Linked DNA regions of Lepisosteus oculatus. The protein of the gene in region 2 interacts with the protein of the main gene of each other region in a pairwise test. Links are inferred from orthologs where the notes say so. Each region holds a gene or a part of one and is shown on either strand. Other genes may lie near its edges.

Evidence for each region.
Region 1: the proteins of xrcc4 (region 2) and aplf interact in binary tests that used the Homo sapiens proteins (3 or more experiments, as listed by UniProt). The link is inferred for Lepisosteus oculatus from reciprocal best matches to the Homo sapiens genes XRCC4 and APLF.
Region 3: the proteins of xrcc4 (region 2) and aptx interact in binary tests that used the Homo sapiens proteins (3 or more experiments, as listed by UniProt). The link is inferred for Lepisosteus oculatus from reciprocal best matches to the Homo sapiens genes XRCC4 and APTX.

Annotation. Positions count from the first base shown.
Region 1 is NC_090712.1:8,482,429-8,486,186, reverse strand, and holds the start of aplf (aprataxin and PNK-like factor), read left to right. Parts: upstream 1-1,284; 5' UTR 1,285-1,355; intron 1,356-1,359; exon of another isoform or gene 1,360-1,442; intron 1,443-1,967; 5' UTR 1,968-1,978; coding exon 1,979-2,071; intron 2,072-3,758. UniProt on the Homo sapiens protein: Histone chaperone involved in single-strand and double-strand DNA break repair.
Region 2 is NC_090698.1:70,696,145-70,699,902, forward strand, and holds the start of xrcc4 (DNA repair protein XRCC4), read left to right. Parts: upstream 1-928; 5' UTR 929-943; coding exon 944-957; intron 958-1,124; coding exon 1,125-1,163; intron 1,164-3,758.
Region 3 is NC_090696.1:33,581,164-33,584,921, forward strand, and holds the start of aptx (aprataxin), read right to left. Parts: upstream 2,874-3,758; 5' UTR 2,502-2,873; intron 2,270-2,501; exon of another isoform or gene 1,979-2,269; intron 609-1,978; 5' UTR 597-608; coding exon 467-596; intron 1-466. UniProt on the Homo sapiens protein: DNA-binding protein involved in single-strand DNA break repair, double-strand DNA break repair and base excision repair.

The DNA.
Region 1 (3,758 bases), on a different chromosome or scaffold from region 2:
AAGGACCTTGAATAACAGTACTACAGAGCATTGTCGAAAACATCGAATAAATATAAAATTGTGTTATACTGTAATTTTATTTGTGTGTGTGTGGGGGGTACATTTAAAAACTCAGAAGATTTACTACTGGGGCAAATTAAGAAATATGTTTAGCTGTTCACTTCGCGGAAGTCTGCATTCATATCCTTATTTTGCCAAGAACTAAGCTGATATACATATATGTACACGACGAAATCCTATCAGATGCAATAATCACACGACAAGGGGAAGTGCAAGGTTACTGCAGATCACCGTTTATTACCGTCTTTTTGTGAAGGAGGGGAGGGTTAATCAAATTAACACTTACTGCCACGTATGTTTATGAACATAATCTCTGCCGGGTCATGAAACAGGCAGTAATGTTTACATTGTTATTAATATAATAACATATAAATATATAAATGGATATTTTGCAAACATTATAATCGCGGTTTACGTACGGGTACCATAAGTGTGTTTAACTTTGAATTGCTTTTTTAGATTTAAAAATTACCTGGCTCACCATATGCCGTTACCAGTGCTAGAAAATAAACAGATTACGCCTTTAACCGATCAGAAAATGAACGTTTTTAAAAGATAAATGACTGCTTTAACGCTTTAAAGTCACGACTTATTTTAAAATTAAAATCATAACTACATACAACTAATCTCTTTTTAAAATTACTAACTGTAGACCGTTTAAACTCATACCTTCTTATGGTTCACGTCATTATGTGACAGCTGACAGTTTAAATGCCTATCCTTTTCAAATTTTTATTTACGCAATGACGCACCCCTACTGACCAACATGGCAAAAACGCATGCGTGCAAGTCGAGGAAGTGTCTGGGAAATGTAGTTTATTTACAGGACGACCGCTGGGTTTTGGGAAGAGAATACGGTGTCACTAGAGAAATGAAGTTTGTAGAAATGCACGCACAGCAGTTTTTTATTATTCTTGTAATACTCAAATTAAATTTGTATTTAAATATAAATTAACAGTATTAAATATGTCTCTTAATTTGAATACGAACTTTACCTTTATAAAAATAGCTCTGTCCAAAAATTTCAAGGTATTCGTTAAGGCACCATGTGGAGGTGTTACGTTTTTATGGAGGTTTTTACCAATTTTGGTGAAATCTGGAAAATGTTGTCTCAATCCTGGTATATTTCAAAGTGGCCTTAATTTATCGTAGTGTAAACGACCACATTTCCCAGAATTCTATGTGATAGTCGGTGCATGCGACTTGAGCTATGTTGTAAAATTACCGGAAATAAACACGATTTTGAACTGTTATCTGAGTGCCTACCAGGTGGCAAACGAAAAATCAGACCACAGGTATTGATTAAGCTCGTAGAGCAGACCTTTAAAACGAAAGTGTGGCACTATAGCCTGGTATCAGTAGCACGTTTGAGCATGTTTCTCGTAAGGACCTTATTTGTACTTTATTGTACTGAATAACGCATATGTACCTCGATTTCTTGTTAAGCATCTGCAAAACTATACAACTACACAAATACAGGGTTGTCAAAAAACAGTGATACTGTTGTTTGTATCGTTAATCAGCAAAGTTTTAATACCTTTATTGTACTGAAGAAAAATTATATGAACTTGATATATATATGAAGACTATTGAAGACATCCTAGCCATATAAATGTGCAACATTTGATGACCTAATGGATTGAGGCAAATTAGACTTAAATTACATGTTGGGTAATTGCTCAGGTTTCTCTTCTGAATCGAATGCTTATATGTACACACCACAGTAACAAAAATTGACCAGCGAGTGAAGTCTGATTTGATCTTAGGACTCTAACTGAGGTTCCAAAACCCAAGGTTTAGTCACACATTGTAATTGACCATTCGGTTGTTTTAATGTTTATGACTTGCATTTGTGAAGCACACGCAGAATGCGTCAAAATGTATATTGTATAATTCTGATTCTGCAGGATAGGTGGACATGTCGGGATTTGAACTGGAACCATTGGACGGGAACTGTTCAATCCCGCTACCAGTTGGAGAAACCTTAATTGGAAGAGGACCTCTTCTCAGGGTACGTGTTTTTTAAACCTACCTCAATTATTTCCTTAAGCACTGCAGATATTTTACTTGTAAGAGGTACAGTCAAGCTATTTCATTTTGCTTAAAAGCAAGATATTTTAGAACATTTAGACATTTGTGACGTGTAATCAACACAATATTGACCGTCGTGTATAACAGCTGGATGCTACACTTCATCGGTGGATAAAGTTGGTCCCCTCTTATGAGCAAAGCACTTTAAGATCCTATGAGGTATATAACATATACATTTAATCGTGGGTGTCTGTAATAGCAGAAACGTTCTTCTTTACCACAAGTGGGCAGCATAGCCTCAAATGGCATACCAGTCAATATGACAATATTCTTCAGAAAGAAAAGTCACTCCAGTTTCTGACTTTTAAAAACATCTTTACAAAACGAACAATTCAAACATAAACTTAAATCCTCAGCATAGCTGCTTTAAAGTTTACTGTGATCAAAGCAAAGCGTTTTAAAGTGTAGTGAAATCACATCCAGCATGTAGGCTGTGGCAGAATAAAGTACAAGCATAGAAAGGGCAGATTTACCTTGCAAAAAGTCAGAAAATCATATACTTCCCTAACTCTCACATTGATTTAATTTGTGTTTGTTACCTGCAGCAATATATTTTGCACTAGTATATAATTAAAATTCTGTGTATACTATACAAGGGACATGCACATAACCGTTTGTATCTTGCAAATGCAAAACAAAAATTGGTGAAATTTGGCAGCTATAGGTCTGAGAAACACGGGACTAGAATAAGAGAACAGAAATTGAAATTTTACTGTTGGAAGACCACACAGTCTTCCAAAGTCAGTCTAGCTGCTGGCATGAGTAACAGATTTCTTTCACAAAAAGCCTGGTTTTATTTATCACACAAACTAAAGAAAAACGTCCAAGGTAGGGGATGTTAATACCCAATGTTTGATGTGTACAAGCTATGTAGTAAACGATTACATGTGTTATCAGATAATATAAATTAAGGTAATATTGAGTAATGTTCTGTAACACCCATAAGATAGATCTCTTTTCAAATATAGTAATGCAGGAAATGAAATGTGATATAAATGTAGAAGCCTTTTTTATTTTGGCGTTTGAGCCCACTCTGCACTCCTAGATGGCACTGTAATACAAGGCTTTCTGTCAGCAAAAAGCACATCACTAAAGTTGGGAGCTTTTCTTGAATTCTTATTTTCAGATTACTTTGGAGTCTATCAGCTTTTATAAAAAATCAAGTCTATAATGGTATTATGGATGGAGGAGCAGACTGCTGCCTTTGTGAGCTAAAACCGGGCGATGTTAATTTATGAACCCTTGTCACTTAAAAAGAGTTATTACAAAGAATAATTTATTTTGTTGTGAGTCCTGAGCTTTTAGCCTTTCAAGGTGCAAATTATAGGCACTGTTTACTACAAGTTTCATTTTTGCCACACCAGTATAAATCTAGATGTACTGTAAAATGTTTGCATGCTGAGTACTTTTTTTTTTTACTGATTCTATTCCATAAAGTAGACACATGGTTTAACAGGCACGCACACACCTTCTTCTGATCTAGATTGTAAGGAGAAACATAAATTACATTTCCTCCTGTGATTTCCTAACACTAAGAGAATAATCAGTGGGGTAATTGCTTTGTCACTGGTCTGCAAATCATTGGATTTTGCCTTATATCTGTGAGC
Region 2 (3,758 bases):
TCATCTCAGTCCAGTAGGAATGGTTTTAATAGGGAACTGCATCAGTGTCCAAGCTGCAAAGGAACACGTAAAGGCTGCATCCAACTCTGGTCTCAAATTATCGAGACCTTGTATTTAAAAGCCTTCACACCTGAAGAAGGCTCCACAGCTGAAATGCTGCTTTTTCTACCTTCAGGTTGGAATTGCTTATAAAAGGTAAGGAAGAAATGCACAGCCTTGATGTATATTGCATACTGGAGCATATTCTATTACACATAATATACTATTACATATACTAATATGTCATTCAATACCGTAACTTTTATCCTGGTGGTAGATTTGTCACTGCCAAACCTGATGTGGCTCTTCATGGTTTCAGATATGTTTGAGATACGATGTAAGGAGTGTTGCATTATTGGCATCATACTGTGTGGTGGTATTTTGTTACGCAGCCTGTGTTTTCCGTGGAAGTACCCATAAAGTACAAAATAAATAATAATAAAAAGAATACCCATGGAGGAAACAGGCCAGTGATTCTCAGCTCTGGTCCTGAAGGACCGCTGTGTCCTTTGGCTTTTGACCCAGCGAAATATTTCTTCGTCGCAGTCAAAAGGCTCTCACTGTCCCGTTTGAAGTGTGTCTGGCAAATTTTCATTCAGCCCTTATAAAAAGTCACATGGCATTTGAAAGTGGTATCAACCCTGAGCCGTTTTCAGTTTCAGGATGCCTCTCGTTCCGCTGTGTGAGCTGAAACATAACCAGCAGGACTTAAGTGGAAGGAAGAAGCAAACGGTCGTGATGGGCCCGTTTACACAGTGACATTCCGCGTCCGTTCAGCATCCGATGATTGACTTTGAAGAGGTTTCGGATCAGAAAGAAGGGAGCAAATTCTTAATGACTGATTTGTTGTTTGTTTTAATCCAGGCAGAGTGCAGAAAAAAAGTCAAGACAAGCAAGCAGATCAATGACAAGATTACAGTAAGAATGATAAAAAACAGTAGATACAGGGGTCCCCAAACGTATGCACAAAAGGTTTACAAATTATGGTCGTCACATCTATGGTGGTACATAAAAAAAAAATTGGTAAATATTCTCTTACCTAAAGAGGGTTCCACAGGTATAATTGTTTTTTTTTGTCATTTCAGCACGGAGCTAATCTTTCTCTTTATTGGAATGTTTGTTGAGTAAGTAATATATAAACGTTGACACATTACCCCTCTATGCAGTTTATTGTACTCAAAGGTTAAGTTTCCATAACCACTGAGAGTACAAGCCTCTATAGTTCTTACTGCCAAGAAAATTACCAAAAGATATTGATACTTACAGTGTATAAAATATTGTCTTGCTGCCATTTTTTAGTTTAATGCTCACAATTAATGTTCGTGTCCATGGTTGAGTAAGTTGCCTCTTTAACAATAAATTGTATTGTTGAAGCTCTTTTCTGATTCGTAATTCCACTTTAGATGTTATAATCAGCCCCCGAGAAAAGCCTTTTGTAGCTCTGGAAGCTTACACTGTTGTCCCAGGTTTCAAGCAGACCACCATAAATATACTTACAGTATTTGAGTTTATTCGACATTTTAGAAAGCACTTTTCATGTAGGAGGTGACCCAGTCCATTCAGCAAAGAAGAGGTCCTTTGGCCCATTTAGCCCCTCTGCGAGCAGTGAAGGTGGTATCCTGGCGATGTGTGGTAGCCATAGGATAGCAGATCACCCACTGCACAGCGGGTGAGCTAAAGAAATGAGAAACAGCCTTGTATCATTGAATTGAGAATGCACTTTAGATGGGAAGAAAAGATTGTAATCAGATATCAATATCACCACTGTCAACACAAGGTCATCCATTTTAATCCAATTGTATGGTTCTGTTTCAATGAGTGGGCACACATTTGTCCTCTCTGCTGTATAAGCAGTTTATATCTGAGAACTGGAATATTTGTGCACTAGTCCAACTAATTCATATTGGATACCTACTGTATACAGTACCTGTGCATGGTACATGTCTGGTCCATACAAGATCCTGTCTGTTGCTTCTACAGCTACTGTAATTTTATGAATCAGTGCATGTATTTGATATTTTCTATTGGTGTTATCTAACTTGAAACCATTCAGGGTTGTTATGAAGTGAGGGGTTGTTTTCATTAAGCTGCAGTGTTGTTTGGAGTAAAAGTGAGCCTTGGAGGCATGTGGTTTTTAACATACCCCTGGGCCTTGTGAAAGGCTTCAATTGCAAACCAAACATGAAAACCTAGAAGAAAATTGTTCCATTCATTTTCCTCTGAGTGTTTCTTAACAACTGTTGTTGTGAGTGATGGAGAAAACAGAACATTATGGTCTGTGCAACTTATCAACGCAAGGTAAAAAGATGCATTAATTAATGAAGTGTTTCTTGCTTTTCTGATTACAGTGCCTTGCACAATTATTCACCCACCGCAAAGCTTCTACATTTTGTTTCTGTCTGAGCTTGCAATAACAGTACAACAAATCTACAGAGTCTACTTCAAACTGGTAAAGGTAAAAATGCTGATGGCGAGCAAATAAATGAGATCTTTATAGAAAATGAGAAGATTCTCAGTTGCATAAGTATTCAACCCTCTTTATTACGGAAGACCTAAATCAGTTGAGGTGCAAAATAACAGTCTGAAAGATCACAGCATTCATGCAACGTTCCCTGTCTGTGTGTAATCAAAGTGGTGTGAATTGACCAGTTCAGAGTAACTGCATCTGTCTCTGTAAGTTCAGTCAGATACTGCATTTCAAGCCATTTCAAGCTCATATTGTGACACACCAAATTGACCATGAAAACCAAGGAGTTGTTGAAACAAATTATGCATAAACTGATAAAGGCATAGAGTAGAAGAAAGCTAGTTTAATTCAGTGAAGTTCATTATTGACAACTGGACTGGAATTTGCAGCATATTACCAAGACACAAACTCAGCAGCTGAGCAAGCAGGTAAGTGGTTAGTAAAGTAACTGTGAAGCCAACAGTGATTTTGAAATATTTGCAGTTTCTTTTGTCTAGAATGGGAGTTGTTGTTCATACACTATCACTGTTCCCAGCATGAGGTAGTCTCTATGGGTGAAAGCAATGACAGAAGACATTCCTGCAAACAATTCATCTCAAATCTTCTAGAAAATACAATGCAGACATGGAGGGTAACAGAAGGGTTTATGATCAAATTAGACAAAAACTGATGTTTTTGTAGTCTAAATGCAAAGAGTTACATCTGATGCAGGCCCAATACAACACATTACCCAGTCAACTCCACCCCAGCTCTCAAGTATGCTGGTAACAGCATCAAGTTACGGGGCTGCTTCTCTTCAGTGGAGACGCATGTCAAGACTAAGGGGAAAATAGATGGAGCAAAGTCTTGAGAAATACAGTACTTGTTTTAGTTGCCCAAGAATCTAAAATCGGTTCTAAAATCACATTTCAGTACAGGGCCAAAGCACAATGAAGTGGTCCGACAACAATGGAATGAATGTTTAAGTTAGTTAAGATCACTTTATTGGCCATATAGAATTTCTTACATTAGGAATTCGTCTTTTTGCATACCCCAGCTTGCTCTCCATGAGACACACAGACGAGGAGAGAAGCTTGGGGTCAGAGCGCAGGGTCAGCCATTTATACGGCGCCCCTGGAGCAGTTGGGGTTAAGGGCCTTGCTCAGGGGCCCAACGGAGTAGGATTCCTCTGCCGGCCACGGGATACGAACCGGCAACCTTCCAGCCACAGGCGCAGATCCTTAGCCACAGTGCCACTGCTCCGCAAACTTCA
Region 3 (3,758 bases), on a different chromosome or scaffold from region 2:
TCCTCTTTGTTCATTTGCAACTTTCCCGAACAGCTATGGCAACAACCACATCCAATGGATTGGGTTAGAAGCCAAATTCTGGGTTAGATTTGAGGAAAGCAGTTGCACAGGGAAGATATTTTGGCAGTCCTGTGTGAGGCTGTGCATCGTAACACCCTACTGTAGCAGGACACCTTTGCTGACATCATGTCTCTCAGTGTAAAAAGCATTCAATGAGCCAGTCTTTTAGAAAAATGGGGTTAACACTCATTTGAGATCAATATATCCAGTGCTTGGATGTCTGCCGCCTTTGGCAGATCTGACTATAGACTCGACACTACCCTACAACTGCTGACACAACACACTGTGAAATTCACAAAACCAGCAAGTTTACGTTTACTGATCTGATTAACATGCTGACTGAAATCATGGGTGTGGAATTCGGGGAAAGAAGAGTGGAAAGGCCGGCTTGAGTTACTTACGTTACCTTGTTCTCTCGAGCATTTCTTGTCTACTATCGTCGTTTCTGGGCCCCGACCTAGGATCACCGTTTGCAGATGTGGCAATCTGATAGGTGCGTGGCATCCATCTTTCCTCACAAGCCAGCAAACCCGCATTATCTCCCTGTCCTTTAGAGAGGGTGACAAAAATGTACAACTGTAAGACATGCTGACAATTCATGGTCTGTGGTACACAAAGAGACTCAGTGACCACTTATGATACTATTCTTAAGACTCCCAGTAATTTTAGCAGCTACTGCACTGCTGAGACCCTTGCTTGCTATTCCTTCAATCTGCTACACCTTTGGTTTCTTTTTAATACCTGAGGGCTGTGAAGACCTAAGCGGACCTGTTAAACTCACAATATTCTAAATAAGATCTTACTAGCGTATTGTACAATTTTAATAAAACAACCTTCTATTTAAATGTTATATTTATATGATATATGATTTATAATGATATATTATATCTTCTTTGGCAGAATACTCTCAAACTCCTTCTAAATCTAAACATACTATATATATACACACACATCTTATTCCTAGTTTGTGTCCAGCTCTGCTTATACGTGTTGAAAGAATTCTGATTGTCCCATAGAATCCTACTGGCAAGCAAGTCTTGTTAAGCTAATCACTACATTTTTTAAAGTTTGTTATTATTATATGCCTCCAAAGTGTCCCCATGTGTGATTGGTTTGCACCTGCCCTGCGATGGACTGGCGCACCGGGCAGGGTGTGCCCTGACTTGTGCTCGTTGCCTGCTGGTTAGGCTCCGGCTTCCCGCGACACCGTGTGTTATAAAGCGGTTTGGCAAATGACATGACATAAGCATTACATATAAGTATTTTCAAAGGACTTATATTTTGTCAGTGCTCATCAATCAGACATGCTGTCATTATTCTTCAAGAATATCAGACATTCTTTACAAACTTGCATATGTTTTAGGGTTCTTTTTTCTAGTTGATCCCATTATTGCATAAAATGCAGCTCAGCATTTAAGAATTTACTGTACATGGGGTATTTCGGCTGATCTGACACTGGCATCGCATCTAAAACACAGGTTAATAACTAGCAAAACCGGATTGATTCCATTTTAAATGGTATACAAAACATTTCAGTAAAACTAAGGCGAGAGCTGGATACTCTTCTAAAAGTTTCTGTACTAAATATTAATGGCGAATATTTTCGGTGGTAGTTTGAAATTGAATAAATAATATCGGTCTCCATTGTATCTTTCCAAATCCATCAAAGTAACTGGAAACCACCACTACAGCATCCTAGTCATTTTTACCCTACTATTTACATATTTGAAGCAGCATACATTATACAGCATAAGATACCAAGTTAAACCTCAGCAGGTACCATGAACGGCATTACCAAATCATCATTTTCTGAGGATTTTTAAACACTTCAAAAGCAAAATCGGAATAATGTTCTCCTATTTTATAAAACATTCATTCACAGACTGTCTATAACAGTGATTTAGTAAAAAATAAATACCTTTAATGTACGAGTAGCACTTTTTCCTCTGAGAAAACTGGAACTGCAAATCAACGTCAGCAAACGCGGATGACGTCAATGTACAACACGCGAAGAAGGACAAACTACACTAAAAACAACCTGACAACGCTTGTGCAGAAATTAAAATCCACTACTACAGTAGTCGAAGCGATAGTACTGATAATACAAGTTAAAGCCCTCTTAAGAGTTATTTCTCATTACTTAATTACAGTTCCATTCCTATAGTACGCATCTGGTTGGGATGGGTTTCTAGACTTAAACTTTACCTTAATTGACCAAAGGACAATAACTGAAGAAATGTTTCAGAAGTATATTATTGTAAATTTTATGTTATTTTTACTGCTTGTATAATTTGTAGTAATACGATAAAGCTTTAGCTTTAGTCATGCAATATTGTATTTAAGAGTCAACTTAGTTACTATCCAGAACAAATTAGTAGCTGCTGGTAGGCGTTGTGAATTTAATGCACACGATTAGTAAACGACGGTATTATTCATCTCACCAAAGCGTTTAGTGCACAATTTTGAGGTCCACGTCATTAGTTTTCAATCCATTTTTACAATCCCGTCCTGATTCGAAATGTCCCTTTGAACGCGGAGTGCAGTCGTGGTCAACCTAAAATTACAGTCAGTAAAGTAAAAGTTTGCGATTTTATTTAATGACGAACAAACCAGACATAAAAATCGAGCCTGGGCCACCCAGTTGGAGGATGCGTTGTGAGTATTGGTGGGTAGTTTTAGGGTCTAAAATGATCACAATGATTTAAAAGCGAAATAACCTAGCAAAAGTGGCTTGGATATTGCTATACGATATGTCTGCACACACTAAAATGAAAAACTGCTGCAGAATCAGAGCCCGGCACAAGCATATCAGCACAGACCCCTACGTGTTGTGGGCGGTGCGGCCGGTTACGTCACGAACCATTGTGTTACAAAATCCGGGTGTCGGCGGAAGGAGGGAAGGAGAAGGTTCTGGAACTTCGTTGCCAGGGTGGAGGAGGGGGGAGAGTCCAACTTTAATTTGTAAGTCGATTAAACCAAAGGTTTATAGCGCACGTACAGTTTTCTTGAAGTGTATATTCTAATAGGAAACGTGTGGTGTAACGCTCCGCGTTTTGGATTCCTTGGGAAAAGTGCCTGAATTATAAAGTGTGAGTATACTTGTTCCGTTCGCAGTTACAGTAGGTACATTTGAGATGACAGTGACATATATTCTTTGTATATGCTTAATTCTAAGTGTGAGTATTACATTTACAGTATTAATGACATTTTAATAAAATAATATTACAAATGGGCAGGGTGTATGGCTAGTGTCTTTATGGCCCTCTTCTAAAATGTTTAAATTTCTTCTATTCTTAGCGCAAGTGTTGTACATATTTTGAATTTTAATGTCCGTTTTAAACTCCTAGGTGTCTTTAAGCAAATCGGGTTAGAGAGAGCGGTCCGGGTGGGAGGTGGAGGTGGTGGGGTTGATGTTGTTGCGCAAGAGGGTTCTCGAAGGTTTTTCAAGGTAAATTAGTCCCCTCTCTCGCGTTGCGCGTTATGTCCAGGCGTGGAAAGCTGTTTCTTCCGGGCTCTAGAAATCTTAAATACAGTACGAGGTCACATATGTCACTGTCGCTTAGTAACTGCCCGACGGGTAGAATTCACCAGATTTCCATCGGCTGATGGGAGTCTAGACCCAGGTCGTCAGGAAACCCAGGGATGACGAACTACCTGCGGACAGTCCGAGTTGAATTGTGCTCTCACATGGTTATCCA